Linked DNA regions of Pelodiscus sinensis. The protein of the gene in region 4 purifies or fractionates together with the protein of the main gene of each other region. This does not show direct contact. Links are inferred from orthologs where the notes say so. Each region holds a gene or a part of one and is shown on either strand. Other genes may lie near its edges.

Region 1 (7,349 bases), on a different chromosome or scaffold from region 4:
TGTGTCTAACAAATACATTACAAGGCAAAAACAGATGTTTAAAGAAAAATAAGGCACAGAAATTAGTAGCATTTCTTGTTAGTCTGTTCTTATACCATGCTCGTCACCGTAGTATCTGAGCACTTTAAATATTAAAGCAAGAACAGCAATCTACACTTGTTTTGCTGGTTCTACGAAACTTTCTTGATAACTTTACTAGTGGCCGCAGAAAACTATCATGATTTTGATATTTTCAAATAGCAAAAAAAAAAAAAAAAAAAAAAAAAAAAAAAAAAAAAACACATGACAAAAGCTTATGCACACTCAAATAGGTGTCTCTATCCCATTATTATCAAACATTTATATTGGTGTCCCCTTTCACACAGCAAGTGTCTGAGTGGGACAGCCTTTATAAATTAAAAAGGTTTCTTTTTATATTTAGCACTATTATAACTGCTGGAGGTTGAAGCTGTGTTTGGGGTAGAGACTGAGAGCTTGTGACCCCCTCATTTAATAACCTCCTATACAATGTTCCCTCTAGTTTTTTCCCCTCCAAGCACAGAATAAATGTTATGTGCATGGAGGCATGTGTTGATGTATGCCACCAGTAGAAACACAAGCTGCTGGCTGTGGGCAGCATTTGAATCTCTCTTTGGTGGCCGCCCAAGCACTCAGCTTACAGGGAACACTGCTCCTGATCCCTCCATGTCATGACTCCCAGTTTGAGAATCCCTGCTCCATTCCCATACAATACACAGACCACAGCCAAAGACTAGTGCATCCTTATAGTTCCAAGGGTTAATCCTTCTGGTAAAATGTGACTAGATAGCACTTCCTTTGAAGAGCATCAGTGCCCCCTTGCATAGCTATGGTGGTGGAGGAAGGGCACTGAGTCACTGAAAAAAAGCAATAAATTCCATATCCTTCCCTGCATGCTGTCCTATCAAGCCCAAGATACAAGAAACACGCATGGGATGTGAAACAATAATGTAGCAAAATGCCAAGTAACCAGGCCAACAGGATTCACTACTGTTATTACATTCTGGAAGAAGATGGCAACATTCAGATGAAATATTCATACATACACATTTCTAAATCATATTAAAAATGGGTTTTAGCTACCTAAGCTGTTGCTCTTTGTTTGCATCCTGCTCCAAGGCATGAAAATCCACAGACAACAAGGCAACAATTGAGTTGACAGCTTCCACTCCTGAAAGGAGTCGAAGGATAAGTTTTTTATCCTGAGCCCAGCTTTGGCTCTGATCAGCTGGGGCACAAAGGGCCATTCGCACCAGGCAAGGCAACAAAAGCCTTAACTCTGGGTCACTTAGTGCTGCCAAGCGCACAACATCCACCTTCTGCATTGCTTCAAATGCGTAGGGGCTGACAAACTGAAGGCCAGAACACTCTGCCATTTTTACCACCTGTCCTAAAGACAAAATAAAAACACAATTATCATCAGAAGAGACAGATTGCATCACAGCTTTTGACAGCTCTAAGCTGGTAAATGTGGTCTAGCAATTAAAACACAAGACTAGGAGTCAGGATTACCAGTTCTGCTCCTATCTGAGACATCTGGGTCATGCCTCCCATTAAAGAGGGAGACTGCATCAGGACTCCTACTTTCTATTTGCAGCTCTGGGAGGGGAGGAAGGTCTAGTAACCAGGACTTCCAGGTGCTATTTTCAACTGTCACTAAGTGCTCATAAGAAGTTAAGGTTGTGAGCATCTCCAAGATGCTTTGAGATACTGGGACACCAGGTGTCCAGAAAGGGACACATCTCCAACACAGCCAAGAAACCCTTGGGATCCAAAGCAATGATTTATTATAACTGCATTCATGTCCGCCACTTCTATTACAGCTCCCACCAACGGCCTACTCCGCCTCCTCACCTCAGAGCCAAAAAGAGCAAAGGATGGTGGTGCCAGGGTTGTGAAAGGGGAAGGTACACGAGACAAGAACAGGGCCAGGACCGTGTTGCAGGGGTTGATCTGCTCGTGGCCCTGCACTGAAAGCAGAACCCAGGCACCCAGTTTTGAACCGTCCTCCTTCCAGACTGAAACAGGACCCAGGCAGTAGGTCCTGGGGCCAGGCGGGGAGAGAGAGAGAAAAGCTCTGACAGCCTCAGTTCCCCCAGGACCCCAGCATCTGGCACCATGGAGGGCTCTAACAACCCCTCCCCCACTCAGGACCCGGGGTGCAGCCCCTCGAGGGGGGCTCTAACAACCCCTCCCCCACTCAGGACCCGGGGTGCAGCCACTCGAGGGGGGCTCTAACAACCCCCCCCACTCAGGACCCGGGGTGCAGCCCCTCGAGGGGGGCTCTAACAACCCCCCCCCACTCAGGACCCGGGGTGCAGCCCCTCGAGGGGGGCTCTAACGACCCCCCCCACTCAGGACCCGGGGTGCAGCCCCTCGAGGGGGGCTCTAACGACCCCCCCCACTCAGGACCCGGGGTGCAGCCCCTCGAGGGGGGCTCTAACGACCCCCCCCCCCACTCAGGACCCGGGGTGCAGCCCCTCGAGGGGGGCTCTAACGACCCCCCCCACTCAGGACCCGGGGTGCAGCCCCTCGAGGGGGGCTCTAACAACCCCCCCACTCAGGACCCGGGGTGCAGCCCCTCGAGGGGGGGCTCTAACGACCCCCCCCACTCAGGACCCGGGGTGCAGCCCCTCGAGGGGGGGCTCTAACAACCCCCCCCACTCAGGACCCGGGGTGCAGCCCCTCGAGGGGGGGCTCTAACGACCCCCCCCCACTCAGGACCCAGGGATCCGAGGCTTCCAGGGAGAGTCGGGGCAGAGGATCCAGGACTCTCACTAACCTGGGACCCGTCCCTCCCCCCGAGACCGGCAGCGGCTCCGCCCCGCCCACGCCGCCGCTACCTTGCGGCCGGGGCAGCAGGCACCCGTCCCCTATTGATGACATCACACCCGTCAGCCCCCTGATGACGCCGTCAAAGGCTTCTAGGAACGTTCGGGCGTGGGAGGAGCAATGGGCGGGACAACCGACAGGCCAACCGGACGTGACGTCAGGAACGGCCGTCGCTCGGGTGGAGCTGCTTGCGCGGGGGAGGGAAGCCGTGGTTGACGTCAGCAGAAGGCGTTGGCGGCCTTCCGCCTCAGAGGGGGGGGGGCGAAAAGGAGAATAGCGTCTGACGTTCGGAATAGCGTCAACGGCGGCGCGGTGACGTTTCGGGACGAGCCAGGCGTGAGCCGGCCTCAGGCGGCCCCTGGGGCCGAGAGTGACGTGCCGCGGAGCCAGGGACCCGGCCGCTGTGGGCCTCCCCGCCCCTCCCCCGCCCGCTGGAACCTTGTGCCGCCCCCTCCCCCCAAGCTACGGATCATATTCAGCGGGGGGGGAGGGGGCGCTTCGTCTTGTAACGGTCAGAAAGCGCGAGTGGGCCGCTGGCCCCTTCAGGCCTGTCTACGCGAACCCCTCCCCCCCCATTCGAACTAGCAGCGCCGGGAGTAACGACTTCAACTGCGGCTGAGAGCCCACAGGACGCGTCTTCTCAGAGCGCTTCTTTCGAAAGAGCGCGCCCAGCCAGGCAAGAGCCGCTCTCGCGGGAGCGCGCCTGGGCCAGCTGGATGCTCGTTCCAAAAAGCCCTGGTTGCATTCAAGGCCTTTTCAACACCAAAAAAAAAAAAGGCTTCGTTCTTCCTAAAATGAGGTTTGCTGCTGCCGAAAAACAATCCCACTGCATCTGTTATTTAGTGTCGGGAGAAGGCCACGGCAGGCTAAACAACAGCGACTTTTTTTTTTTAAATAGCCTTAAAGTCGGTCCGGTTACAGCCAAAAGCAGCAGGAGTAGAGATTGAGAGAATAGGGTTGGTAAGACGGAGACACCGCTTATTTCCAAATAACTCCCGAATGTAGCCAGGGGCTTGGAAACTAACCAAAATACATGTGGAGAGAAGCATGAGCTTTCATTTATATATGTGTATACACACAGTATCGATACAGTTTTGGTTGTAAGGTAGCACAGGACTACTCGTTTAAAAAAAAATACAGACTAACATGCAAATCCCTGAGACTTTATAACTTTTTTTTTTTTTTTTTTTAAATATAGAGAGAGAAGCATGGATAAAATCCAGCTAGTAACTAAGATGTAGCAGAAAAAAACACCACCTGTAAATTGTAGGACTGGTGCTAATTAGGCTAATCAAGTGGGTTGGAAGTGTCCAATTCTAAGCTTATGATGTAAAAACCCAGTCGTTAAAAGCTTTGGGAGACTAGTGTTAGAAGTGCACAATGACAGCTCAGGTACGGGTGCAGGAAGGTTATAAGTATCCTAAAAGCTTACCATAGATCATTCACTTTATACAGCTTGGCTATGTCTAGACTGGAATGATTTTCCACAAATGCTTTTAACTGAAAAGTTTTCCATTAAAAGCATTTGCGGAAAAGAGTGTCTAGACTGGCATGGACGCTTTTCCGCAAAAGCATTTTTTGCGGAAAAGTGTCCATGCCAATCTAGACGCGGTTTTGCACAAGAAAGCCCCGATCACCATTTTCATCATCGGGGCTTTTTTGCACAAAACAGTTTTTAGCTGTCTACACTGGCCCTCTTGTGCAAAAACATTTCCGGAAAAGGGTTTTTGCCCGAATGGGAACGTTGAAGCATTTGCGGAAGCAGCACTGATTTCGGACAGTAGAACATCAGTGCTTTTGCGCAAAATCAAGCGGCCAGTGTAGACAGTTTAGACGCAGCCCTTTAGAGGGGTAGCCCTCTTAATCTGCATCCACAAACACAACAAGGAAGCCTGTGAAGACCAATATTTCTTTAGGCATAAAGATGGGTCTTTGCCCAAGAAAGCTTGTTGGAGTGCAGCTAATGAAATGGGGTTTTGCCCACAAAAGCTTGTGCCCAAAGAAATCTGTTAATCTTTGGATATCACAGCATTCCTTGGTTTTGTTAATACAGTTTTCAATCTTTACTATGCAAAAAAGCTACATTTTTCTAACTTTTACTTTAAACGAAAAGCATAGAAACAGCTTCCTTATCAAGTTTTAAAAAATTATTTCCCAGTAGTTTTCTAGTAATTTATATTTAACCAGCGGGGGGGGGGGGGGGGGGGGGGGGGGAGGAAGAGGCGGGGAGAGGGGAGTATCTGCTGCTACCTGATTGCATATCTCTGGTTCCAAACAAGGGGTGTGGTTGATGGGTTAGTTTGTAATTCTGAAGGTCCTAACCCTGAGGTTTTTGTGTATTTTGTGTCTATGCTACATTGCAAAAATGCTTTTATTTTAGTCATCTTCAATAAGCTACAACTCCTTCCTGTTGTAGAGAGAGCAGTGTTCCCTATAAGCTAGATACACATGTGGCAACTCAGGAGAGATTGAAATGCCACTCAGCTCATTAGAGTACAGTTTGGCTGCATCTAGACTGGCAAGTTTTTCTGCAAAAACGGTGGCTTTTGTGCAAAAACTTGCCAGCTGTCTACGCTGGCCGCTTGATTTTGCACAAAAGCACTGAAGTTCTATGGTCCGAAATCAGTGCTTCTTGCGCAAATGCTTCGACGTTCCCATTCGGGCAAAAGCCCTTTTCCGGAAATGTTTTTGCACAAGAGGGCCAGTGTAGACAGCTAAAAACTGTTTTGTGCAAAAAAGCCCTGATGACGAAAATGGCGATCGGGGCTTTCTTGTGCAAAACCGTGTCTAGATTTTGTGGAAAAGTGTCCGTGCCAATCTAGACGCTCTTTTCCGCAAATGCTTTTAACGGAAAAACTTTTCCGTTAAAAGCATTTGCGGAAAATCACACAGTCTAGACGTAGCCCATGTGTTTCTAGTAGCAATTCACAGATACATCTTGGTGCACATAAAAAATGTATTCTATATATTAATGGGAAAAATCCTGTACATGAGTGGAAAAGGTTGGAGGGAACACTGAGAGAGGATCGTACAGTTGAGTGTTGGAAATAAAGAGAGACGCCACAATCAAGGCTTCATGAATAATTTATTCCATTTGAATTTTTTTTTTTAAAAGTATAAACTTTTTTCATTTCCTCAATCACAATTTGTACAACTCAGTGTTTATGGCATTCGGCAGCAATAGTGTTTGTTCCTTATTTGATTTTATGTCATATTAAATAAGACGACTTGGACCATTAAACGTCACTGCTGAGCAAAACCTTAAAAACTTCCCTTAAAGTGACCCAGCTATTTTGAGAAGATTTATGAAATTGACATGTCCAGTAATGATGCCACAATTTGCAATTTAAATCCAATAGCTTTTCAAGGTCCTCAAATCCAGTTTATTTGGAAAACCTAAAGCTATATTAAAACTTCCTGAAAAAGTGACCCTGAGGATTATTGTAGGTCCCAAATCCAGTTTTACTGTAAATGAAGTTTCACTCAATTGAAAATAAAGTACACCCACATATAAGATTTTCTAAATATCAGACATAGATCTATATCTTTCAATTAAGATGAAAGTAATTAATTTTTCACTTTAGAATTTCTGTCAAGATAGTTTGTCATATAATTTAACTTTGAGAAACTGAGTTCTTAGAGGAAACCCAGGCCAAAATATTGTTTCATGTACAATTACATGGATAATATTAACAGACTGATATGCTATGCCATAGACTGTTGTGCAGCAAATTAAATGGTGCAATAGCATTTAAAACTTTTTCATCTATTAAATTTGAATGTTTTTAAATAATGCAACATAATATTGATAGTACAGTATTAACAAATAGTGCTTGATTAAAGACATCTGCAAATCTTTGTAGCAACACATGAAGTTAAGTCACCATGGAAGATAAATAAAGATTAAAAGAATATAGTAATAATCTGTGCCATATTGACAGCTGAGTAAGAATATAGCTGAAGATTTTAATGATAACTTTAATTTTAGCCATTTCAGAAAATGTTAGAAAGTTTTAAAATGTACAAGCTACTTTAAAAGGCAAGGATTTTATGCAAGTACACTTGGCGGCCTACTGGCCAAACAATATGTACATGAATCTAATTCATACCGTGTTAAGTCCAGATGACAACGGCTTGCATAAAGAAAGTATGGCTAGATTTTTTTTTTGACTGGCATGTATATAATTATAATTTGAAATCCCAAAATACTTAATAGGTGAACTTCCACAAAATGCTACTAAACTGAGAGCTGCACAGACCAACACTAGGAACAAGCATTTTGAGATGTTGCCACCCAAACTGTCAATGATCTGTATAAACTCTGTTATTAAGCTTGCACCTTCTGTTCAAATCTGCTGTTAACTGGCTGTGACAATATAACTGTTAGAAAGTAGTCAAGTGGAAGGGTTAATCATTAAAGGAATTTGATTCATAAGATGGAAGTTACTTATTTAGAAGTAAGCTAAATATGGTAATTAGCTCCTTGGTGCTGGCAGTTT
Region 2 (7,840 bases), on a different chromosome or scaffold from region 4:
GTACAGTCGCTTTTCAGAGAAGCGTTGCATTTTAAACAGGAAAAGCTCTATTCAGCTGCGATTACCTGGTAGAGCAAATCTCTCCCGGCTAACACCCCCACACCCACATGTATGAGTAATAGGCACAGAGCTGCCTTTCTGTGCAGAACTCTTCCTGAGCCTGGAAACATTACACATTTAAATGTGGTAACATTTAACTAGAGCTGGCAAGCGATTAAAAAAAGTGTGATTAATTGTGCTGTTAAAACAATAATAAAATACCATTTACTTAAACAGGTTTGGATGCTTTCTACACTTTCAAATATATTGATTTGCATTACAACACAGAGTACAAAGTGTAAAGTGCTCACGTTTGTTTTTTAGAGTGCAAATATTGTAATTAAAAACATATAGTATTTTCAGTTAATCTAATTCAAGTATAGTAGTGCAATCTCTTTATCCTGAAAATTGAACTTACACATCTATAATTGTGGACAAAAAAAAACTGCACTCAAGAACAAAACAATATAAAACTCCAGTCCACTGAGGCCTACTTCTTGTTCAACCACTTGTTCAGGCAAACAACTTTATTTACATTTGCAGGAGATAATGCTGCCCTCTTCTTGTCACCTCAAAGAAAGAACAGGCGTTCACATAGCACTGCTACAGTCGGCAGCACAATGTATGCCAGAGGTGCTAAAGATTCATATGTCCCTTCATGCTTCAACTGCCATTCTAGGGGACATTTGTCCATGCTGATAATAGGTTCCGCTTGATAAAGATCCCAAGCAGTGCAGGCTGACTTTCATTTTCATCATGTGAGTCAGATGCCATCCCATTGTTACCATCTCTGCGTTTTGTCAAATCTGCAGGGAAAATGTTTTTAAAATGAACATGTGCTGCGTCATCATCCAAGACTGCGCTAATGTGAACTATATAGCAGGAGACATGTCATTCTCCCCCAAGAAGTTTTGTCTCAAATGTTAACACTCTTTTTTTAAACAAGTGTTGTCAGCATGGAAGCATGCCCTCTAAAATGGTGGCCAAAGCATGAAGGGACATACGAATATTTAACATATCTGGCACATAAACATCTTGCAATAGCAGCTACAATAGTGACATGCAAATACCTGTTCTCACTTTCAAGAAACATTGTAAATAGGTGGGCACCTTTATAGAATCATAGAACACGAGAACTTTGAAGGGACCTCCAGAGATCATCAATCTAGTACCCTGCCCTCATGGCAGGACCAAACACGGTCAAGACCATCTCTTATAGATGTCTACCCAACCCTGCTCTTAAATATCTCCAGTGATGGAGATTCCACAACCCCCCTAGGCAATTTATTCCAGTGTTTCACCACCATGACAAGTAGGAAGTTTTTCCTAATGTCCAACCTAAACCTCCCTTGCTGTAGTTTAAGTCCACTGCTTCTTGTCTTATCATCAGAGGCCAAGGAGAAAAATTTTCCTCCCTCCTTCTTGTAAGATCCTTCCATAACTGAAAAAAAAGCTTGTTTATCTTAGAAATTGGCTGAACAAGAAGTAGGAACAAGTGGACTGGTAAACTCTAAAGTTTTACTTTGTTTTGGAGTGCAGTTATTTAACAAAAATGTCAACATCTGTAAATTGCACTTTCATGATAGCCTGCACCATTGTATTCATGAGGCGAATTTAAAAATACTATTATCATTTTTCTAGTACAAGTATTTGCAATCAAAATAATAGAAAGGGAGCACTGTACACTTTCCATTCTGGGTTGTAACAGAAATAAATATATTTGAAAATGTAGAAAAACATCCAAAATGTTTAATTTCAGTTGGTATTCAATGGTTCAATAGTGTGATTAAAGCTGCAATTTTTGAGCTAATGTGTGAGTTAACTGATTTGTTGACAGCCCTATATTTAACCATTAGGTTTTTTTTAAAAAAACAGTCTATATCTAGGTAGAACATGATTCCAATTATGCCCCTCTCAGAGTTATAGTGCATGTTGCTTTTCACATGGCTCCCCGAAAATGCCACTTCTTGGTGAGAACGTATGTCGACTCCAGCTGCAGAATATATTTAATCTGACTAGGGAAACCGGAGACCACAGGTCTCAAACTCCCAGCCTGCAGGCCATCCTCAGCCAGAGCAGTTGTGCAATATGGTGTAGTATGCCTGGTGGGGGACCTGTCCATTACTGCCCCAAGCCCTGCCCCTTCCCACTATTGCCCATCCTCTCCCCGCTCCATGGCACCCCATCCCTCAAGGATGCGGCTTCAGGGATCATGGGGAGGAGGGTGCCTGGTGTTGCAGTGGGCATGCTCCTTATACTACCTGCGAGTGCGTTTGACCAGTGTGCCCCACTTCCCCTGCTACTCCTGCTGCTGCAGGGAGTGAGGGGGGCCCATCCACTGCTACTGAGCCACACCAGGCCCCCTCCCTCCATAATCCCTGAAGCCCCATCCTCCAGGATGGGGTGCCATGGGTGGAGTGAGGAGTGATGGCATGAAGGGGCGGGGCTTGGGGGCCCGTAATGGACAATCCCCCTCCCCAGTCTGCCAGAGTCCCAGGCTGGATTGTGCAATTGCTCCAGCCAGAGATGTCCCATGGGCTGGGAACTTGAGACCCCTGCCAGAGACTAGACTGTCTGTTTTTTAACCAGGTGTAGCTGTTTGAGCTGAAAAGAGTGACTGATAAGACAAGTATCCCCTCCTCCACTGACACACATGTAAGGCTTGGACTATTTTTCAGGCAGACACATGGTATTAAACTGTGTTGCCTACTGAACTTTGGGAATCTGATAAGACCTCCTTCTCCAGCTTCAGCTCTGGAATCAGAGAGGTTTCTGGAGAATGAGGCTTTCCCTGGGCACTGCTCTGGTTGGCACCTTTCCAAGGGATCCTTCTTGGCTGAGGTTCTTCTGATCAGAGCCACTAGGAGAAAAAGAACAGGACTATTCTACACCCTCCCCCACCCTTGGGATCTGAGTCACCCCAGCATCAGCACATCAGCTGAGTCACTGGCGCCCCTTTCAGGGGCTGAAGGGAACCCACCTGCTGTCTGAGCCAATCACAGCCTCTGATTGTTTTACTCCCCCCTGTTCCCAGCATGCCGAGCAGGATCCTGCGCTGGAACTAGGTGCTATATGAGAACTGACTCATTAGGGAGCAGCTACTTGATAAGGCAGGTGGTGGTGGAGGGAAGGCAGGCAGCTCATCCTGCCCTAACTTTGTTATGGAGAGCGGTAACTGGGGTAGCTGGCATCCTCATTCCATGGTCCACCCCCAGGCTCCTAAGCCTATTGAATTTTTTTTTGAGTTTTATTATTAATTTGAAGGAACAAGCTACCAAACAAATAAAGGGAAAGAAAAGGAAAAACCCAGCTAATTGGGGTCAGAGCTGACGGACCCAGGCTGTCCACTGGCTCCTTTGTGGGGACAGGGATCTTGCCCGCTGTCCACAAAGTCCATCTTCTTCCTCTTTGATTTGTGAAGCCTGAGAGCTGAATCTCACCCCAACAGCCAAGTGGGAACCTGTCCCTGCTCTATTTTAAGGTGTACTGAAATGTATTAAAATGGATAAGTACCGTTTGACACGACATTGAAGCCGATACTGACTGCCTGGTATGCTTCAGGCAGGAGAAATGTACACAAGAGAAAAATCACAGATGTGAAGGGAAATGTCCCTTCAAATAAAGCCTTGTCCCTTGTTTTTCACAGGGTTTTTCCCTTACTGCAATCAGCAAAGATGATCGCTCTGTTCGGGTCTCCCACCAGGGCTGGGTTGGATGAAGGCTCTCCAGGCCTTTGGGAACAGCCCCACAATTGGCCCCTGTGGCCCCATTTGCGCACTTGACGTGGCAGTGCCCTCAGTTCCACGCTTGGAGAGGCAGGTACAGCAGCACGGAGCCCACTTCTTGCCTAGAAGCAGCAGCAAGTTTTCCTCCCTTTTGTGAGCAACAGGTTTCTCCTGTTCTTGTCCCAGCACCTGAAGTGGGTGGGCCAAGCCCCTCAGAGCAGGGGGGCTCACACTGCGGGGTGCACAGACCATAATCCCCTCCTCAGAGTTATTGAGTCAGGCTCCCTGCAGACTCTGGCATCCGTGACGCTTCTGCCCTGTTTTCAAACAATTCCACCCAGGCAGGCTAGACGTACAGGCTACATCTACATTGGCAAGATTTTGCGCAAATACTTTTAACGCAAGAGTTTTTGCGTTAAAGTATTTGAGCAAGAGAGCGTTTACACTGGCATGTGTTTTTGCGCAAGAGATGTGCTTTTGCGCAAAAGCATCCGTGCCAGTATAGACGCTCTCTTGCGCAAGAAAGCTCCGATGGCCATTTTAGCCATCGGGGTTTATTGCGCAAGAAAAGCATGTTGCCTGTCTACACTGGCCTCTTGCGCAAGAACAGTTGCGCAAGAGGAGGCCTTTTTCCTGAGCGGGAGCATCATAGTTCTTGCGCAAGAAGCACTGATTTCACACATTAGAAGTCAGTGTTCTTGCACAAGAACTCCCCGCCAGTGTAGAGAGGCAGCATGTTTTTGCGTAAAAGCGCTCGCTTTTGCGCAAAATCATGCCAATGTAGACACAACCTAACTGTTTGTGTCTACTAAAACAGAGATTGTGAGATTACCAGGACTCCAGGAGCTAGGGCCTAGCATTAGCTTTTGTGCCTCTGCCTCAGTCCCACCAGGGCTTTCCTCTGCCACACCGCAGAAGTGTTTGCAGTTGGAGCCAAGGTACCAACTTGGGTCTCTGAGGCTGTGGCCTTCCCTTTCCCCCCTTCCCTGGTCCCTCCTGACTCCCAGGACCTAGGACTGGAGGCGGGAGGAAAGAGTTGGAGCCTGTTCCTTATCAGGAGCCAGGCGTGTGCAGCAGCTGCAGAGGTAGCTAATGGGAAGCCGGGGATGGAGCCGAGCGCGCTGGTGGCGTTTCTCCCTGCAGGCTGCTGCGGGGACACGCTCGGGTTGCCTGTCTGAAGGTGCCTGTGGCCGCGGAGATGGGGACGGGGGGGTTTGATGCCGCTTAGAAGATCCCCGCCCCGGGAGCTGGCCCAGGTCCGCGGCTCGCCGAGAGGCAGGTTTTGCGTTTTCCGGGCACAGTTCGGACGTTTCCGCGTCTTCCCAGCGCCGGGGAACCGGAGCGGGCTCGGCCGGGCTCCCCGCCGCGCTGCAGGCGCCCGCTCCTCCTCAGCCGCCGGGGCCCTGCTGCGCCCCCCGGCTCGGGCTCCCGGCCCCGCGGCGGGCTCGGGCTCTCCCGCAGTACCGGGCGGAGGCGCGGGGGGCGCGGCGGAGCCGGTCTCTCCCGGCTGGGCTGAGCCGTGCGGGGCTCGCCGCTCTCCGTGTCGCCGCCAGAGCCCGCGGCCGCGGCCATGGGGGTCCCGGGCCGCCCGCCTTGCGCTGCTCCCCGGCGGCCGCCGCCCGCGCTCCCCGCCTGCCGCCGCGGCTGAGCCGCATGGGCCGGGCCCCGCGCCGCGGCTGCTCCGAGCGGGTGAGCGAGCGGAGCCAGGCCCAGGCCGAGCCGGGAGGCCGCCCCATTGTGGGGCCGCCGGGACGGGCCGCCGCTAGGCCGCTGGGGCCGGGCCGGGCGTGCGGGGGGCCGGGCTCCGGGGGTCCCGGGCCCCGCGTCCTGCCGGCTCAGGCGGAGCCGCGGCTGCTGTCAGCGCCCGGCCGGGGAGCCGGGAGGCAGCGGCCGCCCCTCGGGAGCCCCGATCCGCGCAGGGGGAGGTGACAGGCTGGAAATCCCGCGCCGGGCCCTCAGGCGGCGCGTGTGTCCCCGCGGCGTGGGCCGGGGCGCCCTGGCCTGGCGAGTCGCACCCGGGCCTGGCCCGCGCCTCGGAGCAAAATGGCTTGTGGGTCAGTGCGGGCGAGCGAGGCAACGCGCTGGGAAAGGGGGCGACGTTTCACGGGGGGCCGGGGACTCGCGGGTCCGTGTGGTGGGGCTCGGATGAACCCCGGGGCCTGGCTGCTCTCGTAGGGACGAGAAACGCACCGCGAACGGGGCAGAGGGCGGAATGATTGGATCCGAAATTGCAGGTGTTCAGGCAAACCTCAGCATAGCGCGCGTGTGTGTTTTGGCCCAGTAGCTGTGCTGAGTAACTGTATCTCTTGGCCTCAGGATCACAAAGCCAGTTGAAACCCACAGTTACCTGGGAATTAAAATCACTCAGCCTGGTTGTTTCCCATGTTGTCTTGTTTTGTGATGATGCGCAAACTGTCGGGTGTCTTGAAGGCCAGGAAGGGCACCTTCTAGCTGTATTTGTTCAGCTCGGGGAAAGTTGTCCAAAAGATGCATTGGTTTGTGTGGGCTTTGCTTTGTGAGAGTGGCTTTTATTTCACAATTATTTCCCTTGGTATATTTTCACATGCAGTTGAGTTAGTCCATTTAAAGAAGTGCTCTGTGAGACAGCTGCAGCTTTACAGCATTCAGGTTTTTTATCCGAGGGGGAGCCGTGTTAGTCTGAATCTGCAAAAGCGGCGAGGAGTCCTGTGGCACCTTTCGTGGGCAAAGACCACTTCGTCAGATGCATGACTCACATGCATCTGACGAAGTGGGTCTTTGTCCACAAAAGCTTATGCTCCTACACTTCAGTTAGTCGATAAGGTGCCACAGGATTCCTCGCCACTTTTGCAGGTTTTTTAGTTGACCCAGAATTATTTTGTAACACTCAACTTTTGTTAGTGTCTTGAAAGAATTTAGGTTATATTGATTTAGTACACAAGTAGGTACCAGAGGTTGTACAACTCTACTCCTGTCTCCAGACATACCTTTTTTTTTGCACCATGTTGGTTCAAATTACTTTTTTAAATATTGTTTGATTATTTCTTCTCAGGTGGTGGCTAGGACTGTTCTCAGGGTCAGCAGCAAATAATGTTTGTTAGCTTATGTGAAACTTCAGTAAATAGCTCCTGCTCCATGAAGTATGATGATATATTCAATAGTGCTGTGCCATACACACAATTTTTACATTATGTTCCTTTATTACAGGAGTGTCATTGAGAAATATGCAAAATATTCTGGGAATGATGATGCTTTTAATTTCACTAAGGGATATTATTCACTTACCCTAATTAATGCTCAAAATGCTTTTCAAGTGCTGAGGTGATGTCAAAATGTGCCAAGGACTGGAGGGGAATTTCATAGTGTGTAATGGTGATTGTATTGGAACGTATATGGCTTGATTACATTATATTCTTGATTTTTAGTGCTAATTGGGAGTATTTTCAGAGAATTTTTTCATACTCTGAAAGAAATTCCAAAATTGTTATGGAGATGTGAATTTACCTAGTATTTAGCTATGTAAAACTACTGCTTATTTTATGAGTTTAGGATATACATGTTAAAATTCAAGTAAATCTCCTCTTTATGAAATATATAAATCCTTTTAGGATTGTTTGTTTCAGTACCTCTGTAATAGAAATATTGGCGTGCTCTAAAAATAGTCACGTTAGAATTTTTGTCTGCAGTATTTTTAATTTTGTTCTCGTTTTGTTTCAACAGGACAAACACATTCACTCTGGAACTCCTGATACTGGTGTTTTGAGGCTTAGCCTGGTCCCTCCTTGTTTCTGTGCAAGCAGGCACCATAAAAATGAATATCCACGGGAAAGGCTTCCCTTTGGATCTTGGGGGAAGCTTCACCGAAGATGCTCCAAGGCCACCGGTCCCTGGTGAGGAGGGTGAGCTAGTTTCTACGGATCCAAGGCCAATCAGCCATGGCTTCTATTCTGGGAAAAGTGACGTGATTAAAAATGAGACTTCTACAGCAACCCCAAGGCGCTCTGATTTGGATTTGGGGTACGAGCCTGAAGGGAGTGCTTCTCCGACTCCACCCTACTTGAGATGGGCCGAGTCGCTGCACTCCTTGTTGGATGATC
Region 3 (7,747 bases), on a different chromosome or scaffold from region 4:
CTTCATGTGGGACCTGTTCCAACCCCTAATCATTTGTATTGCCCTTTTTTGAACCTTTTCCAATGCCAATATATTTTTATGAGGTAACTGCAGCTGTACAGTCTTCAAGATATGGGTGTACCATAGTTTTTTATGGAAGCAATAAGATATTCTCTTAGTCTCTATCCCTTTTTAATTATTCCTAACATTGTTTGCATTTTTGACTGCTGCTGCACATTGAGCGGATGTTTTCAGAGAACTATCCACAAATGACTCCGAGATCTCTATCCTGAGTTGTTATATCTAAATCAGTCCTCATAATTTTGTATGTATAGTTTGGATTATTTTTTCCAATGTGCATTACTTTACATTTACCAGCATTAAATTACATTTGCCATTTTGTTGCCCACTGACTTAGTTTGGTGAGAGCTCTTTACAGTCTGCTTTGTTAATCTGCTTTGTTCTTAACTATCTTGAGCAGTTTAGCATCACCTACAAATTTTGCCACCTCACTGTTTACCCCTTTTTCCAGATCATTTATAAATAGGTTAAATAGCATTGGTCCCAGTACGGACCTTTGGGGGATATCACTAGTTACCCCTCCCCATTCTGAAAACTGACTATTTATTCCTACCCTTTGTTTCCTGTCTTTTAACCAGTTTTCACTCCATGAGAGGACATTTCCTCTTGTCCCATGACAACTTACTTTACTTAAGAGCCTTTGGTGAGGGATCTTGTCAAAGGCTTTCCAGAAATCTAAGTACACTATATCTACTGTATCCCCCTTGTCCACATATTTGTTGGCCCCCCTCAAATAACTCTTGTAGATTAGTAAAGAATGATTTCCCTTTTTAGAAACCATGTTGACTTTCCCTCAACAAATTATGTGCATCTATGTGTCTGATGATTTTATTCTTTGCTATAGTTTCAACTAATTTACCTGGTAAATTTACCGGTCTGTAATTGTAAATAGACACATCAGGCACAGATAGAATGAGAAAAAAGTGAGTGCAAAAAATGCTCCTAAGAGTAGAATTGCACTGTGTTTGTGCAGCTCACAACAAACACCATGCGATCTGGCTGTATGACTATGACTCCCAGATAGTTTGGTAAATAATGTCATAACCTTATGATTTCATCTCCTCATGTTTATCATACACTTTGCTATGGAATGCAATTCAATAAAATGACATTTTTAATTTAAAAGTCTATTCAGGACTTTACAAACATTTGAATAAAAGGCAGACTTATACAAAGAGTACCTTCCAAAATAAGTTTATGATAAGCAAATGAATCTCACAAAAATTAATGCAACAATCTGAAAGTCCTATATTGGTGAGACTTAAAATAGCTGAAGTATGACAGATTTAATTTACTATAGGATATGAGATCCAGAGATAACAAACTATCAAAAAAAAGTTGCTTGTAAACAAACTCAAATATTACTGTTAGTATCTGAACTATTTATATTTAGTTTAACATTCAGGTTTCAAACAAACAATAGTCAAGTCTGAAGGAAGCAGTTTCTCCTACTGCTTTATAGAAACAGAAATTGTTGCCACATCTGAAAAGGCATGTGGTCCATTTGGTAAGAAAACATGAGCTGAAGAGTCCACAATAAATGTCCTTGGGAAGAAGAAGAAAAACACCACATCCCTACCTCTCAAACAAAAAGATGACCCACAACATCAGACAAAGGATGCAAAAGAAATTCTTGACCCCAAATGGTGGCAATATGCACTTTACATTTATTGGGGTTCCCTTTTATTAGTAGTGCTCTTTGCTGTGGCTCTTGAGAAGATAGCTGGGTTTTGCCAAGGTTTTTGCCTACACTATGTAGTAAACCCAGGTCTGAAGGCCCAATGGTTATGGACTCAGACTATGTCTACACTAACACTTTTATCAGTACAAGTTTTATTGGTCAGGAGTGTGGAACACACATACCCCCACCAACATACATTTAATCCACAAAAGCACTGATACAGCAAGTGCTATGTCATTGGGTAGAGCCTCTCCTGCCAACTAGGGATGTTAAAAAGTGGGTAGTTGTATAACTGCTAGAGCCAGTAGTGCAGGGTGGCAGCCGGTTCCCCAGGAGCAAGGTGGGAGCCTGCATATAACTGTTAATATTAACTGCTAACACCAGGCTTATGGGCTAGCCATTTAAATGGTTATACTTTTGCATCCCTACTGGTGACACCATTTCTCATCCCCAGCAGGATGCAGTAACTGGTTAACCAACTACCCAGTAAGCATCACCCTTAACAGGTGATGCATACCAGGTAACAGCAGCTTAATGTTTAACTGGTTAACTTATTGAACAGGATTTTACATCCCTAGCTCCCGGTGCTTGGGGGCGGGGGGTCAGTTTAATTAAGCCCTTCTATCATCATAGCTAGCTACACAGGAGACAAAGCGGTACAGCTGTGCCATTATATAAGGTCTCTAGTTTAGCCTTAATGTTTCCAAGCTCATGTCTGAGCAACCGTTACATGGCGTCAAACACCTAGATTTACAATCGCTGGCCCGAGGTCCGACACCTGTGCTATTGCATCCAAGCTGCTCTCCACAGACCGCACATGGGTTGTGGTTTAAGCTGTATCCACACTGCGGAATGACAGGGCAGGAGCCCAGACGTTAGCGCCCAAATCCCGGGGGCCTGCTGACCCGAGTCAGACCCGGGCTCAAACCTCAGGCTGACAACTCAGAGCGTCCACGGGCGCCCGCCCGGCCGCAGCCCGTAGAGCGGGCGCAGGCAGCCCAACCCCCGCCGGCCCGCAGCCCGCCCCCACCTCTCGGCCTGGGCAGATTTCATGATGTGGGTCTGGGCGGCGCTGAGTTTCCAAGGCCCGAAGGTGAACTCGCGGCGGCTGCTCTGGAACACGGGGAGCATGGCGGGGCCGGGAGGAGGAGGTGGGAGAAGAGGCGGTTGCTGGGCTCCCCCCAGCAGCGGCACCAGCGCCGCCGGAACCGGAATCCGCACTCCCCGCCGTCCTGCACTTCCGCTTCCGGGGTCACCGACTGGCCTGGGGGTAGAGTCATCCAGCGTCACGAGAAACGCGCGCAGGCGCAGCGGGGATTCGAGGGGGCGGGGCCTGGAGGGGCGGGGAACACAGGCGCGCTCCGCCCTTCCCGCAGTCCCTGCGTTCGCAGAGCCGCCGCCCCTCCCTTTCCACCACAGCGCCTCTGCCTGTGGGTCCGGCACGGGGAGGCGTTTCCTTAGCAGAGCACGAGGGAGTTGAGAAGGGGCCGGTCAAAGCGTTGGAAAGGCGCGGCTGGGTGTGACAACAGGCACCCCACACAGCCTACTGGCCCGGGACTGCAGAACCCCAGCATTAGCTGCTCATAAAAACCAGTGTTTTCCACAATTAAAATGAAACGCTAAACTTTAGTTTCCCTACCCCCTGATAGCTGTAGACAGGAGTTGAACACATTGTATTGATGTACCGGCTGTCCTCGCTACAAGTCCAAGTTCTGTTCCAAAAAACTTGGACTTACACCCAAAGTGGTGATTTTTTTTCTCCTGCAGCTGACTTCCATTTGCACAAATTGGTTGGGGTTTTTGTTTGTGGTTGTTTGGTTTGTGTTGCACACGATTTAAGTATGAAACGGATATATATGGGGCGAACTAATAGCAGAGATGCCCTGTATTTACAATTTTAAACAAATTTGAAGCTTACCACTGCCATCAATCATTGAAAAAAAACTGCAATTTGTATTTCTGAAATATACTAAATATTGTTATGTCTGTATTCTATATTTTCAGAATTTTAATGCTCGGAAACACTGTAATGATCCCAATCACAGTGTTTACTGTTATTGATACCCCTACTATGTTCCTATCTTGGTTTCATTTCTTTACATTCAGTTTAACACTTCTGATTGTTCTACAATTGTTCTACAATTGTCTGCCTTCAAAAAGGGAGTGCAGGGGGACCCTACTGCTGGGGGACCACCCTGTGCGAGGCTCCCCAAGTAATCCCTGAGGCCCAGTCCTCAGGGAACAGAGTGACAGGGAGAGGAGATGGCAAGGGGATGGCAGGAGGGGGAAGGGCTTCAGGATGGAATTGGACACCCTACTCTCCCCCTTCCCCCCCCCCAATCAGGATACTGTATTGTTTAATGAAGTCTTCAGTGTTTTTCAGCCATGTTGGCTGGCACCAATATTCTCTGTAAGCTGTGCGCCTGTGCAGCCACTCAAAGAGAGCTTCAAATGCTCTCCAGCTGATTAGCAGATTTCCCACATCTAGGATTTTGCTTCTGCTAGTGGTACACCTTCACACATAGGGTTGCCAGGTGTCCGGTACTGAATTGGACAGCCACCGGTATTTGCGCCTTCCATCCAGTAAAAAAATTCAGAACATTTTCTGTTTTTCCCAGCTCAGGTGTCTGTGGAAGGGTGGTTGGGACACGCAGCACAGCTTGGGCTGGCTGGGGCAAGGGGAGGATGGAGCAGGCTGGGAACTAAAGGGCCGCGACTGTATTTCGGCCCTACTCAATCCCTTTTTTTTTTCTTTTTGCTCAACAACTTTTGCTGTTTTTTTTTTCTTAACGGAATTTCTTCCCAGGTTTTTTTGGGTGGTACGGTATTTTTTGTTAAACCATCTGGCAACCCTATTCGCAAATGCCTTGATACACATAAAAATGTATTCTGCACATGGATGGAAATAATCAACACATAGAAAAGATTAGAGGGAACATTGGTTGTCACCCTCCTTTTGTAAGGCTAAACATCCTGACAGTTTTGTCTCCTTGGTGAAGGATTCAGGTATATCATAATATTCCCATTATACTCCCAATATTTATTGTCTTTACTCATAGAAACATGCTGTTTTGGGATAAAACATTTCTTGTTGATCTTACGTGAAGTCATCATCTTCATTAGCATCAGGTTAAGTAATGCAATTCGATTTACACTGTGAAACATATGATCAGCCAGAAAAGGAAGCATTATTATCCCAACTAAACAACACATTTGTCAGCTGCTTCTGCATAAGAGAGTCTGATTTGGAGGCTCACTCTCACATACATAAAAATGTTAAAAAACAACGAATGGTCCTGCTGCACCTTAGGGCTCGTCTAAACTAAATTCCTCTTCTGAAAGAGAAATGTAAATGAGCCCGACTGAAAATGTAAATGAAGTGCAGATTTACAAATCTTGTGCTTCATTTGCATAATAGTGGGAGAATGCTTTTTCGAAAAAGGGTTTTTCAAAAAACAAAGCGCAGTTGAGATGGGGTTCTTTCAATAAAAAAGCCCTTTTTCAAAAAAGCCCATACACCTCATTTTTTCAGGAGTACAGGCTCTTTCAAAAAAGGGTTGGTTTTTTTTTAAAGAATTCCTTCTAGACTGAAGTTTCTTTTTCGAAAAACCCTTTTTCGAAAAAGCGCTCGCCCGCAATTATGCAAATGAAGCACAAGATTGGTAAATCTGCACTTCATTTGCATGTTTGATCAGCCTCATTTACATTCCTCTTTCGGAAGAGGATGTAGTTTAGATGAGCCTTAGAGACTAACAAAACATGTAGATGGTATCATGAGCTTTTGTGGGCACAACCACACACACACACACTCTCTCTCTCTCTCTCTCTCTCTCTCACCTTCCATTCAGTCCCTTTTAGGCAGAAACAGCTGTGTCCTGATTTCTGCCCAACTGCCAAGGGCAGAGAAAGTAGCAAATGCGGTGGGAGAGAGGTGCAGGAGAAAGAAGGACATAGAATCCTCACCCTCATGTGGCATGGGGCTGGGTAACACAAAGTGGGAGGGGAGTCACTGAAGGAGAGACACATGGGATGGTCGCATGTCTTCCCCCTTAGCTAGTGTCCCCCCATTATGGGGAAGCACCAGTCATCTATGGGATCCCCGTAAACTCCTATGTATCTTCTATGCCCTTTACCAATTTGCAACAAACGATTCCTGAGTCACAGAAATGGGGATGGCAGATACACTAAACATGAATTTCACTATGGGTACGTCTACACAACAACATTATTTTGGAATAACTGATGTTATTCCAAAATAACAAGGAGCATGTCTACACTACAAGCCTGTATTTCAAAATAATGTCAAGCTGGAGGACTTCTTACTCCGACTCCTGTAACCCTCATTTCACATGGGGTAAGGGAAGCTGAAGGGAGAGTGTTCTTCTTTCAACTTCCTGCTGTGTAGACAGCACCAAACGCTGAGTTAAGCTATTTCGACTTCAGCTGCACAATTGATGTAGCTGAAGTTGCAATTTGACCCTCTTTCTACCTCTGTTTCCATCTATTGAGGGTGGGAATGCACCAAACTAGAGAAGTGTTGCTATAATAGTGGGGAGTGTCCTCTTCTGCAATGTATTAAACTGTACTGAGCTAAATGCAATACTTCTGAGATCCATTGTATTACAAATGCAATTACAGGCAGTCCCCGGGTTACGTGGATCCGACTTATGTCGGATCCCTACTTACGAATGGGGTGAGGGAACCCCGCGGCGAGAAAAGCCGCTCTGCGTCTCCCTAGTCTGCTGGGGGGGCTCCCTCAGCAGACCAGGGAGACGCGGAGCAAAGCCGCGGAGGACGCAGGCGGCGGGACCGTGGCGCGTCTCAGCGGTCCCGCCGCCCGCGTCTCCCTGGTCGGCTGGGGGGGGGGGGGACGCAGCTAGTGTGCCCCACTCCCCAGCAGACCAGGCTTTTCTCGCCGCTGGTCAGTTTCTGCAGCGGCTAAATCAGGAAGCCTGGGGTAGAGCAGCTGGGGGGCTGCCAGGTTGGTCCCACAGCGCCGAGGTGCGGCGCTACTGGACCAACCCAGCAGCACCCCAGCTGCTCTGCCCCAGGCGTGTCCGATTCAGCCGCTGCTGATCAGTTTCAACAGTGGCTGAATCTGGACGCCTGGGACAGAGCAGCTGGGGCGCTGCCGGGTTGGTCCCCGCAGCACCGCACCTCGGCGCTGCGGGGACCAACCTGGCAGCACCCCAGCTGCTCTACCCCAGGTGTCCCCAAGTCAGCTGCTGCTGAAACTGACCAGCAGCTGATTCGAGGAAGCCCGGGGCAAAGCAGCTCTGCCTCGGGCTTCCTGTAGTCAGCCGCTGGTCAGTTTCAGCAGCGCTGAATCGGGGACACCTGGGGTACAATATGTACCAGTTCTGACTTACATACAAATTCAACTTAAGAACAAACCTACAGTCCCTATCTTGTACGTAACCCGGGGACTGCCTGTATGTGTTACTGTGGGATTGTATGTAACTCCTGGAAAGATGTGACTTACATAAAACATAGGGACATTACACTACAAGCTTTCATAAAAGACCTTATTTGACATTTTATAGCACAATAACATTGTATACAGTCAGCTGGTTTAACTATTTATTCCTTGGGGATCAACCCCATATTCTCCTCAGAGGGTTTCTGGACTGTGTTTATTGCTGTTAGGAACATTAAAGAACTTTTTGAAACAGTGTAAACTGTTAATTGAGTAGGTTTCCTAGGAAATGCATGGGATGAGTGCAGGGCTCAAATTCATCAGAGCCCACTCTAGCAGAGCTCTGGTAAACATTTTCAAACCAGCAGGAGGCATACTTCAGGCCTGTAGAAAGTGCCAAGGTGTGAGGCTTCAGTTCTGTGGTGTTCACCCCAATCTTTTCCTCCCTCTCCCCACTGAGCTAACACCCAGAACCCCAAGTGTAGGGGAATGGGAAACCACAGGGAAATAATCTTTGAGAATTTAAGACCTGAGTGAGGGAATGTAAATGACCTATGAAGCTGCACACTGAGTAAAAATCCATTGTCTGA
Region 4 (7,147 bases):
CTTCTTCTGATTTGTAGTATGGATTTGAACTTCATCTTCCATCCACCAGGATAATGACCTGCCCACTAAGCTATAATCATTTTCACTCTCTCTAAAAGCCAAATTTATATATAGTGGAACAACTTCAGCACGAGATACTGAAATACCAACCATGGAGTACCATTTAACCCAATGGCTACAGCATGGTGCTGAGAGGAGAGAGACTGGTTCAAATATCTACTCCACATCAGATAAGGAGTTTTGAACCTATGTGTACCACATCCTCAGTGAACTAACCACTGGGATAAAGGTTATAACAGGGTTTTTCTGTTGGGGGAGGAAGCAATAAAGGGCTATAGGTGTTTAATCCCAGGAGAGGATTCCATAACTGTGAACCTCAAATGGAGCTGGGCACCTAACTCTCAGTGGGCTACACACCATAGCCCTCCCCTTGGCATTTTCTATACTCAACTTGCTGGCTTCAATGGATTCTATTCTTAGGTACATAGTATTCCCCATGCTTCACACAGGAAAACCTGTGCATTTAACTCAGGGTTGTGAATTCCATCTGGAAGCAACAGGTCTAAATTCAGATACTGCAAGACTGAGTCCATTCCCTCTCTGGCCAATGGGAGCTGTGGAGTTTGCGCTTAGGACAGGAGGCAGTGCACGGACACATTCCTCCCCTCCACAGTCCTGCAGGAACATGCCCATCCTGCACATTTCCACAAGTGAGGAAGTAGCCTCCTGCTGCAGCCCTGCTGTACAGCCAAACTTCTAGATTGCAGGAGTTGTTGAATGAGAAGAGCTGATGATCAGTGAGGCCTGCAGAACTTCTGGGGTACTCTTGGGGGGAGGGTGACTCTTCCCCCATAGGGTCCACATATCCTAGGTTGAGAAATACTGTACTGAAGTACTTTTCAAGTGACTGATCAAGATTACAAAGAATTCAGAAAGTAGCAGGTTCAAACACACTGTAGTGACTCCAGACACCTCAAATCAGGCTCTTCAGTATTAATGATAAAAATTAAGAGTATTTACATCAGGTGTACAACAGTAATGTTTCAACTTTGCCACCTGAATTCCTTAAAACACTCCACAAATATTCTCCCCACACTATAGTTAAATGCACACCCCTATGCTATGCCACAAAAACTTTCAAGTCAACATACTTGATCAGTATTCCACATTAAAATGCTATTTGTGGAAACACAGATTGGTATGAAAGGAGGAGAGGTACTGTGGCCTACACAGAAATTGTTTCTAAAACACAAGAATGAGAATGCTGCATCATTCATGGCCCCAAGTGATCTTATCATGGTGCATGTCTCCATTTACCTATTTGCAAATGTCTAGGATTTTAGTGACAATAAGTCAGAAAGCCATTTAGCATGCTATACTGCAAATAGACTAGTTTATGTAGAGCAAATTCTTTTTTTCCCTTAAAATTTTCATCTTTAGACATTAAGTCACAATCTGAAGTGAAAATAAAATGTAAGAGATAACTATAACAGCTTTATAAAAATTGTAACGAAAATGTACTTGTGCAACCATTAAATCAACTTACCCACTTTTATTTTACTACAGTATCAAATTATTATTCATTCTGTCTAAATTCTACAGGGCTCCTCTAAACTCAGGAAAACCATGAGGAATGACCACCGAGACAGGTAATAGCCAAACCTCACCATCCATAACTACACAAAGTAAAACTTCATATTACCTGGCTATATTTAGAAATGCCTACAAGGAGAAACCAATACCCTAAATTAATCTAATTCCCAATTACAATTTAAAGGCTGTTCCAAACACATCAAAGTTAAAAAAAAATGTAATGCAATGGCAGTCAAAAAATTCCAATTCCAAATTACTTTTATGGAGAGGAATTCCTACACTACCACCTTAAAATGAAATTTCCACTTTTAATTCCTGCCATTTTGGTGGACTTTACAAGAAAAACAAACATGCATTAACTGTGCCAAGGGGGATGGCATTTTGTTCAAGTCTTCCAACAGGGCAGCAATTACAGATTGGGTCTGACACTAGTAGTGGCATCCTAACATAGCAGACATAAATCTGTGGCCACTACACTCCCATCTGCGTCTCATACAACTGCCACCGCTATTTTCAACCCTCCCCCCTTTTATGAGAAGCGGGGCTGGGGCATTGGAGGGAGGAGGGTGGGCGTTTGGACGCTGCCTTACAGATTTGCCTTTCTACCTCTCTCGCACGGAGGAACTAGGAGGTGACACCGGGAGCGACACCCCGAGCGCCGAGCACGGCTGGTGCTCACAAGGGTCTCTTCGCCCCGCAGATTCCCTGCGAGAGGCGCCATTTTAGGAGGCAACGAACAGCAGCCGAAGGAGTCGGTCTCCTAGCGGAGCGGCAGGGGGCGCAGAGCTGCCCGGGAGGAGGCTACCCCCGGCTCGGCGCTGTAGGACCCGCTATCTCCGCGGGGTGACAGACCCGCCGGGGCGCTAGGGGGGAAAAACCGGGCCCGCCCGAGGAGATGCGGCCACGGCCACCCCCCGCTTCTTCTTCGCGCTCCTCACGCAGGGGCTGCTCCGCGGGGAGCCCCCCCCCCGCCACAGGCCCCTTCCCCAGCCCCCTCTCCTCACCCTGTCAGAGGCGCTTCCGCCGCCCGCCCCCAGCCCGGACTCCCCTGCCCAGGCCTCGCCCCAGCTCCCCCCGGCCGCGGGCCCCCCGTACCTTCTCGCAGAGGCTCTTCACCTGCCCCTCGGACAGCTGCTTGCACTCGTTGAGCTGCTCCACCCACTGGTCGAGCTCCTTGGTGAAGACCTTCTCCTCCATGCCGCCCGCTCGCGCTCCCCTCCCCGGCTCCTGCCGCTACCGCTCGGCTCTGCCACCCCTACGACCCGCTCCAGGCCGCGGCCTCACCGGACACCCAGGCAGGTGCGGTGGCGGCAACCGACGCTCGCGGCTAGGTCCCGGCTCCCGGCAGCAGTTCTAGCGCTCTACACTCGTTCTTCACTCCCCTCCGTGTAATGGCCGCCGCGCCCTGACGTCACCAGCTCTGCTTCCCCCTCGGAGGGGGGAGGGGTAGCATAGCGCGTGCGCGTGATACCTACCACAAGAGGGCGGGGCCGGCCGAGGAGAGGCGGCGCATGCGTGATGTTCGTAGCCAAGTGGGGAAGCCCGAAATATCAGTGCATGCTTGCTTTACAAAGGGCGTAGCGATGTCGGGATTAGCGCATGCGCAGTGCTCGCACCGATGTACGGGCGCATGTGCAGTGGCTGAAGTAAAAGGAAGAGAATGGCGGGACAGCGGCGCATGCGCAGCACCAATAACTAGCGAGGGGGGGGAAAGATGTCTGAACTGAGCGATTGGAAGCGATCAGAGCATGCGCAATGTGAGGAGGGGGCAGGTTCAGAGCGTTGTAATAAGACGCCCGCTGCAGAGCCTGCTTCAGATGCTGCCCCTCGCTCTGTGGACCCCATCACACCCCCGCCACCCATAGTATTCCCGCCACTCCCGCTCCAGAGACCTCCACACACACAGTACTCCCGCCACTCCTGCTCCAGAGAGCTCCCACCCCACAGTACTCCCGCCACACACCCTTCCAGGGAGCCTCTCCCCCGCCACACAGTACTCCTGCCACCCCAGCTCCAGGGGACCTCTCTCCCCCAACACACTACTCCCGCCACATCCACTCCAGGGAGCTTCTTCCCTTCCCAATACAATACTCCTGCCACCCACAGTCCAGGGAGCGTCTCCGCCCAATATAATACTCCCGCTATGCCCATTCCAGTGAGCCTCTCCCCCCCCCCCCACCGCAAAATACTACTCCCACCTAGGGATGTAATAGTATAGTTGATTAACCAATAAGCAAAAGTGTATAGGTTAATGCTATAGAATACACGCATTCTCCACTCCCCTCCCTCCCCAGTACATTTTTTCTAGCAGGCTGGCCAGCAGCCCAGCTCAGTCCCGACTTGCGCCAGGTCTGGGACCTACCCCTGCTGTAGCTCTGCATTTAAAGTGTATTAGGAGCTAGGCGGGCAGGCAGCCTGGCTCAGTTCTGGCTCATGTCGGGTCCGGGAGCTTAAACACCTACCTGGATAGGGGCTGTATCAGGCAGCAGTGCAGGGCAACAGGCAGTCAATCCATTAAGGGAGCTGGTTTTTAAACTGGCTCCCCTTGTGGACCAGCTCCCGCCTAGCACCCCGCATTGCTGCTTTGGATACAGAGGTAGCAGTGTGGAGTGGCAGGGGGCTCCTTGGGAGTGGAACCAGAGTGCACTGGCTGCCGTCCTCGCTCCCAGAGGCTATAGAATAGTCAAGTAATGGATAAGAATTCATGGGGTTAAATGACTATTCAATTAACCCAGGGGTCTCCAAACTACGGCCCGCGGGCCGGATGCGGCCCGCGAGGCCCTCTCATCCGGCCCGTGGAGACCGTCCCTGGGGTGCCGCCGAACGGGCCCTTCTTGCCGCGGGGGGGGGCCCTGTCAGGGGTGTGCGGCGTGTACTCACGCCACGCCGGGGCAGGAGAAGCGGGCCGCTCCGCTGACAAGCGGCCACGCGGCAGCAAACGGCGCAGGGGGCGGGGGTTAGCACGGGCGGCGTTCCCCCGCCCAGACTGACAGGGCAGCCGGCCAATCAGGGGGCAGGAGAAGCGGGCCGCTCCTCTGACAGGTGGCCGCGCGGCGGCAAACGGCGCAGGGGGCGGGGGTTAGCACGGGCGGCGTTCCCCCGCCCAGACTGACAGGGCAGCCGGCCAATCAGGGGGCAGGATGGGCGGTGGTGGTAACGCCCGCCCGGCGACGTGCGGGGGAACGTGAACCCCGGCGGGAACTTTAAAAAGGTGACCCCTTCCGCCCGGGGTGGGGAAGGAGTGAGCGGTGGCAAGCAGGAGGGGAGGACAGCGTGCAGAGGAAGGGGAGAGCAGGGGGAAAAGCCCCCCCCCCCTTCCGGGAGAAACGGATTCGCAGGCGAATATTCTGAAGAGGAAACATTAAAAGCAACAATCTCTCTACCATAAGTGGATATATTTGCACACTATATTCAGGTAAGTTTAACTTAAGAAATCATAAGAATTTTTAAAAATTGTTTCGGGTCATTTGCAGCTATTATTGCGACAAAATTAGTTCGCATAATCAGGTTTTTTGAGCGATATTGTGTGCAAGATACTTTCAGTTTCATTATTTATTCATGTTGAATTCACTTTATTTTAGTGCCCAGCGATGGCCGAGAAGAGGAAAAGAAAAATAGACGATGAGTGTCGGCAATTTCAAGAAGAATGGAGTTTGAAATACTTCTTCATCAAATCCGGCGAGAAAGCATTGTGTGTGATTTGCAACGAAACCGTGGCTGTGATGAAAGAATACAACCTGCGCCGTCATCATCAAAGCAAACATCAGGAGAAATATGTACAGTTGAAGGGTAAAGTCCGTGCCGAAAAATTTTCTAAATTACAAAATCAACTCACATCTCAGAGGACATTGTTCAGTAAATCCTCAAATGAAAATGAATCCTTAACTAAGGCCAGTTATAAAGTTGCCTACGTCCTGGCTAAAAGTGGCAAACCCTTTACAGATGGTGAAGTAGTGAAGGAATGTTTGTTGGAAGTGGCTGAGGAACTTTGCCCAGAAAAGTCAAAACAATTTGAAAATGTAGCTTTGGGTGCGAATACCATTGCCCGCCGTGTTGCAGACATGGGTGAAAACATTGTGACTCAAATAGCGAAAAATGCAAGCAAGTTTCGCCATTTTTCAATTGCAATGGATGAATCGCTGGACAGCTGCTCCACCTCTCAACTGCTTGTGTTCATTAGAGGTGTGGATGAAGACATGAACATAACACAAGAGCTGGCTTCCCTACATAGCATGTATGGCACTGTTACTGGAGAGGATATATTCAATGAGTTGAAAAAAACATTTGCTGATTATAACTTGGACTGGACTAACCTCAGTTGCCTGACTGTTGATGGAGGAAAGAACATGAGTGGCATAAAGAAAGGCTTGGTTGGACAAGTGAAGCAGATGTGTAATGAGAAAAACATTATACAACCAATGTTCCTGCACTGTATTATTCACCAGCAAGCTTTGTGTGCTAAATATGTGGACATTAGCAGTGTACTGAATCCTGTGGTGAAGATGGTGAATTTAATAAGGTCACATGGGCTCAACCATAGACAGTTCAGAGACATGTTGAAAGATACAGACACAGAATCACAAGATTTACCATATTACACAGCAGTAAGATGGCTAAGTTGTGAGAAAGTTCTGAGCAGAGTATTTAAGTTAAGAAAGGAAATAGGTGACTTCCTGGAAAGTAAAGGCAAGCCACAGCCATTACTGTCTGATGAAGAGTGGGTATGGAAATTGGCTTTTGCTGCAGACATAACTAGTCATTTAAATTTTCTGAACCTAAAACTACAAGGAGAGCAAAATCTAGTTTCTGATCTATACACCCACCTAAAGGCCTTCAGATCCAAACTTGTCTTGTTTTTGGAACAAGTACAGGCCAACAACTTGACGCACTTTCAGCAGTGCAAGGTATTCATGGCTGAAGCAACAGCTGAGTTCCCCACGTCATTTGCATGTGAGATCATCAAAGACCTCCAGCTGCAGTTTCAGCAGCGGTTTTCTGACTTGGATTCAAAGGCAGAAGAAGTGAGATTGTTTCAAAACCCATTTGAAGCAGATGTGGCCAGTTGCCCAGATGAACTGCAGCTGGAAGTCATTGAGTTGCAAGCAAATGACCTCCTTAGGGACAAGTTCAAAATAGGACTGGTGGGTTTTTACCAGTTTTTGCCCAAGGAAGACTTTCCTAATGTCAAAACTTTTGCATCAAGGTACCTTTCAATCTTTGGAACAACATACCTGTGTGAACAAACATTTTCAAGAATGAAATATGTGAAGAACAATTTGAGAACAAACTTGTCCGATGATAATCTCAGGTCACTGTTGATGTTAGGGACAACAAATCTAAAGCCAGAAATGTCTGCTATTTTGGCATCAAGGAAACAATTTCACCATTCACACTAATACAGGTGTTCATGTGTAGTGTATCAATGTGTTATTAAATAATAACTGAATAAAATAATATTAAATAAATAATTAAAAACAACATCCATGTTTTGATTGTTTTTTATTTGGACCTCAAGTGTGTAGTCGGCCCCCGAACTGCTGTTTGATAGTTAATG

What was found. Proteins that work in one complex are often made in the same cells at the same time.
Region 1: the proteins of PPP2CA (region 4) and INTS2 purify together in Homo sapiens (affinity purification with mass spectrometry; 4 studies listed by BioGRID and IntAct, with this or other methods). This does not show direct contact. The link is inferred for Pelodiscus sinensis from reciprocal best matches to the Homo sapiens genes PPP2CA and INTS2.
Region 2: the proteins of PPP2CA (region 4) and AXIN1 purify together in Homo sapiens (affinity purification with western blotting; 4 studies listed by BioGRID and IntAct, with this or other methods). This does not show direct contact. The link is inferred for Pelodiscus sinensis from reciprocal best matches to the Homo sapiens genes PPP2CA and AXIN1.
Region 3: the proteins of PPP2CA (region 4) and TIPRL purify together in Homo sapiens (co-immunoprecipitation; 4 studies listed by BioGRID and IntAct, with this or other methods). This does not show direct contact. The link is inferred for Pelodiscus sinensis from reciprocal best matches to the Homo sapiens genes PPP2CA and TIPRL.

What each region holds. Positions count from the first base shown.
Region 1 is NC_134731.1:6,070,148-6,077,496, reverse strand, and holds the start of INTS2 (integrator complex subunit 2), read right to left. Parts: upstream 3,004-7,349; 5' UTR 2,905-3,003; coding exon 2,862-2,904; exon of another isoform or gene 2,801-2,861; intron 2,195-2,800; exon of another isoform or gene 1,873-2,194; intron 1,409-1,872; coding exon 1,102-1,408; intron 6-1,101; coding exon 1-5. UniProt on the Homo sapiens protein: Component of the integrator complex, a multiprotein complex that terminates RNA polymerase II (Pol II) transcription in the promoter-proximal region of genes.
Region 2 is NC_134726.1:4,493,986-4,501,825, reverse strand, and holds the start of AXIN1 (axin-1), read left to right. Parts: upstream 1-4,837; 5' UTR 4,838-4,944; exon of another isoform or gene 4,945-5,039; intron 5,040-5,156; exon of another isoform or gene 5,157-5,453; intron 5,454-5,522; exon of another isoform or gene 5,523-5,818; intron 5,819-7,463; 5' UTR 7,464-7,554; coding exon 7,555-7,840. UniProt on the Homo sapiens protein: Component of the beta-catenin destruction complex required for regulating CTNNB1 levels through phosphorylation and ubiquitination, and modulating Wnt-signaling.
Region 3 is NC_134711.1:149,454,644-149,462,390, reverse strand, and holds the start of TIPRL (TIP41-like protein), read right to left. Parts: upstream 3,004-7,747; 5' UTR 2,873-3,003; coding exon 2,772-2,872; intron 1-2,771. UniProt on the Homo sapiens protein: May be a allosteric regulator of serine/threonine-protein phosphatase 2A (PP2A). Isoform 1 inhibits catalytic activity of the PP2A(D) core complex in vitro. The PP2A(C):TIPRL complex does not show phosphatase activity.
Region 4 is NC_134727.1:28,175,665-28,182,811, forward strand, and holds the start of PPP2CA (serine/threonine-protein phosphatase 2A catalytic subunit alpha isoform), read right to left. Parts: upstream 3,012-7,147; 5' UTR 2,791-3,011; coding exon 2,689-2,790; intron 1-2,688. UniProt on the Homo sapiens protein: Catalytic subunit of protein phosphatase 2A (PP2A), a serine/threonine phosphatase involved in the regulation of a wide variety of enzymes, signal transduction pathways, and cellular events.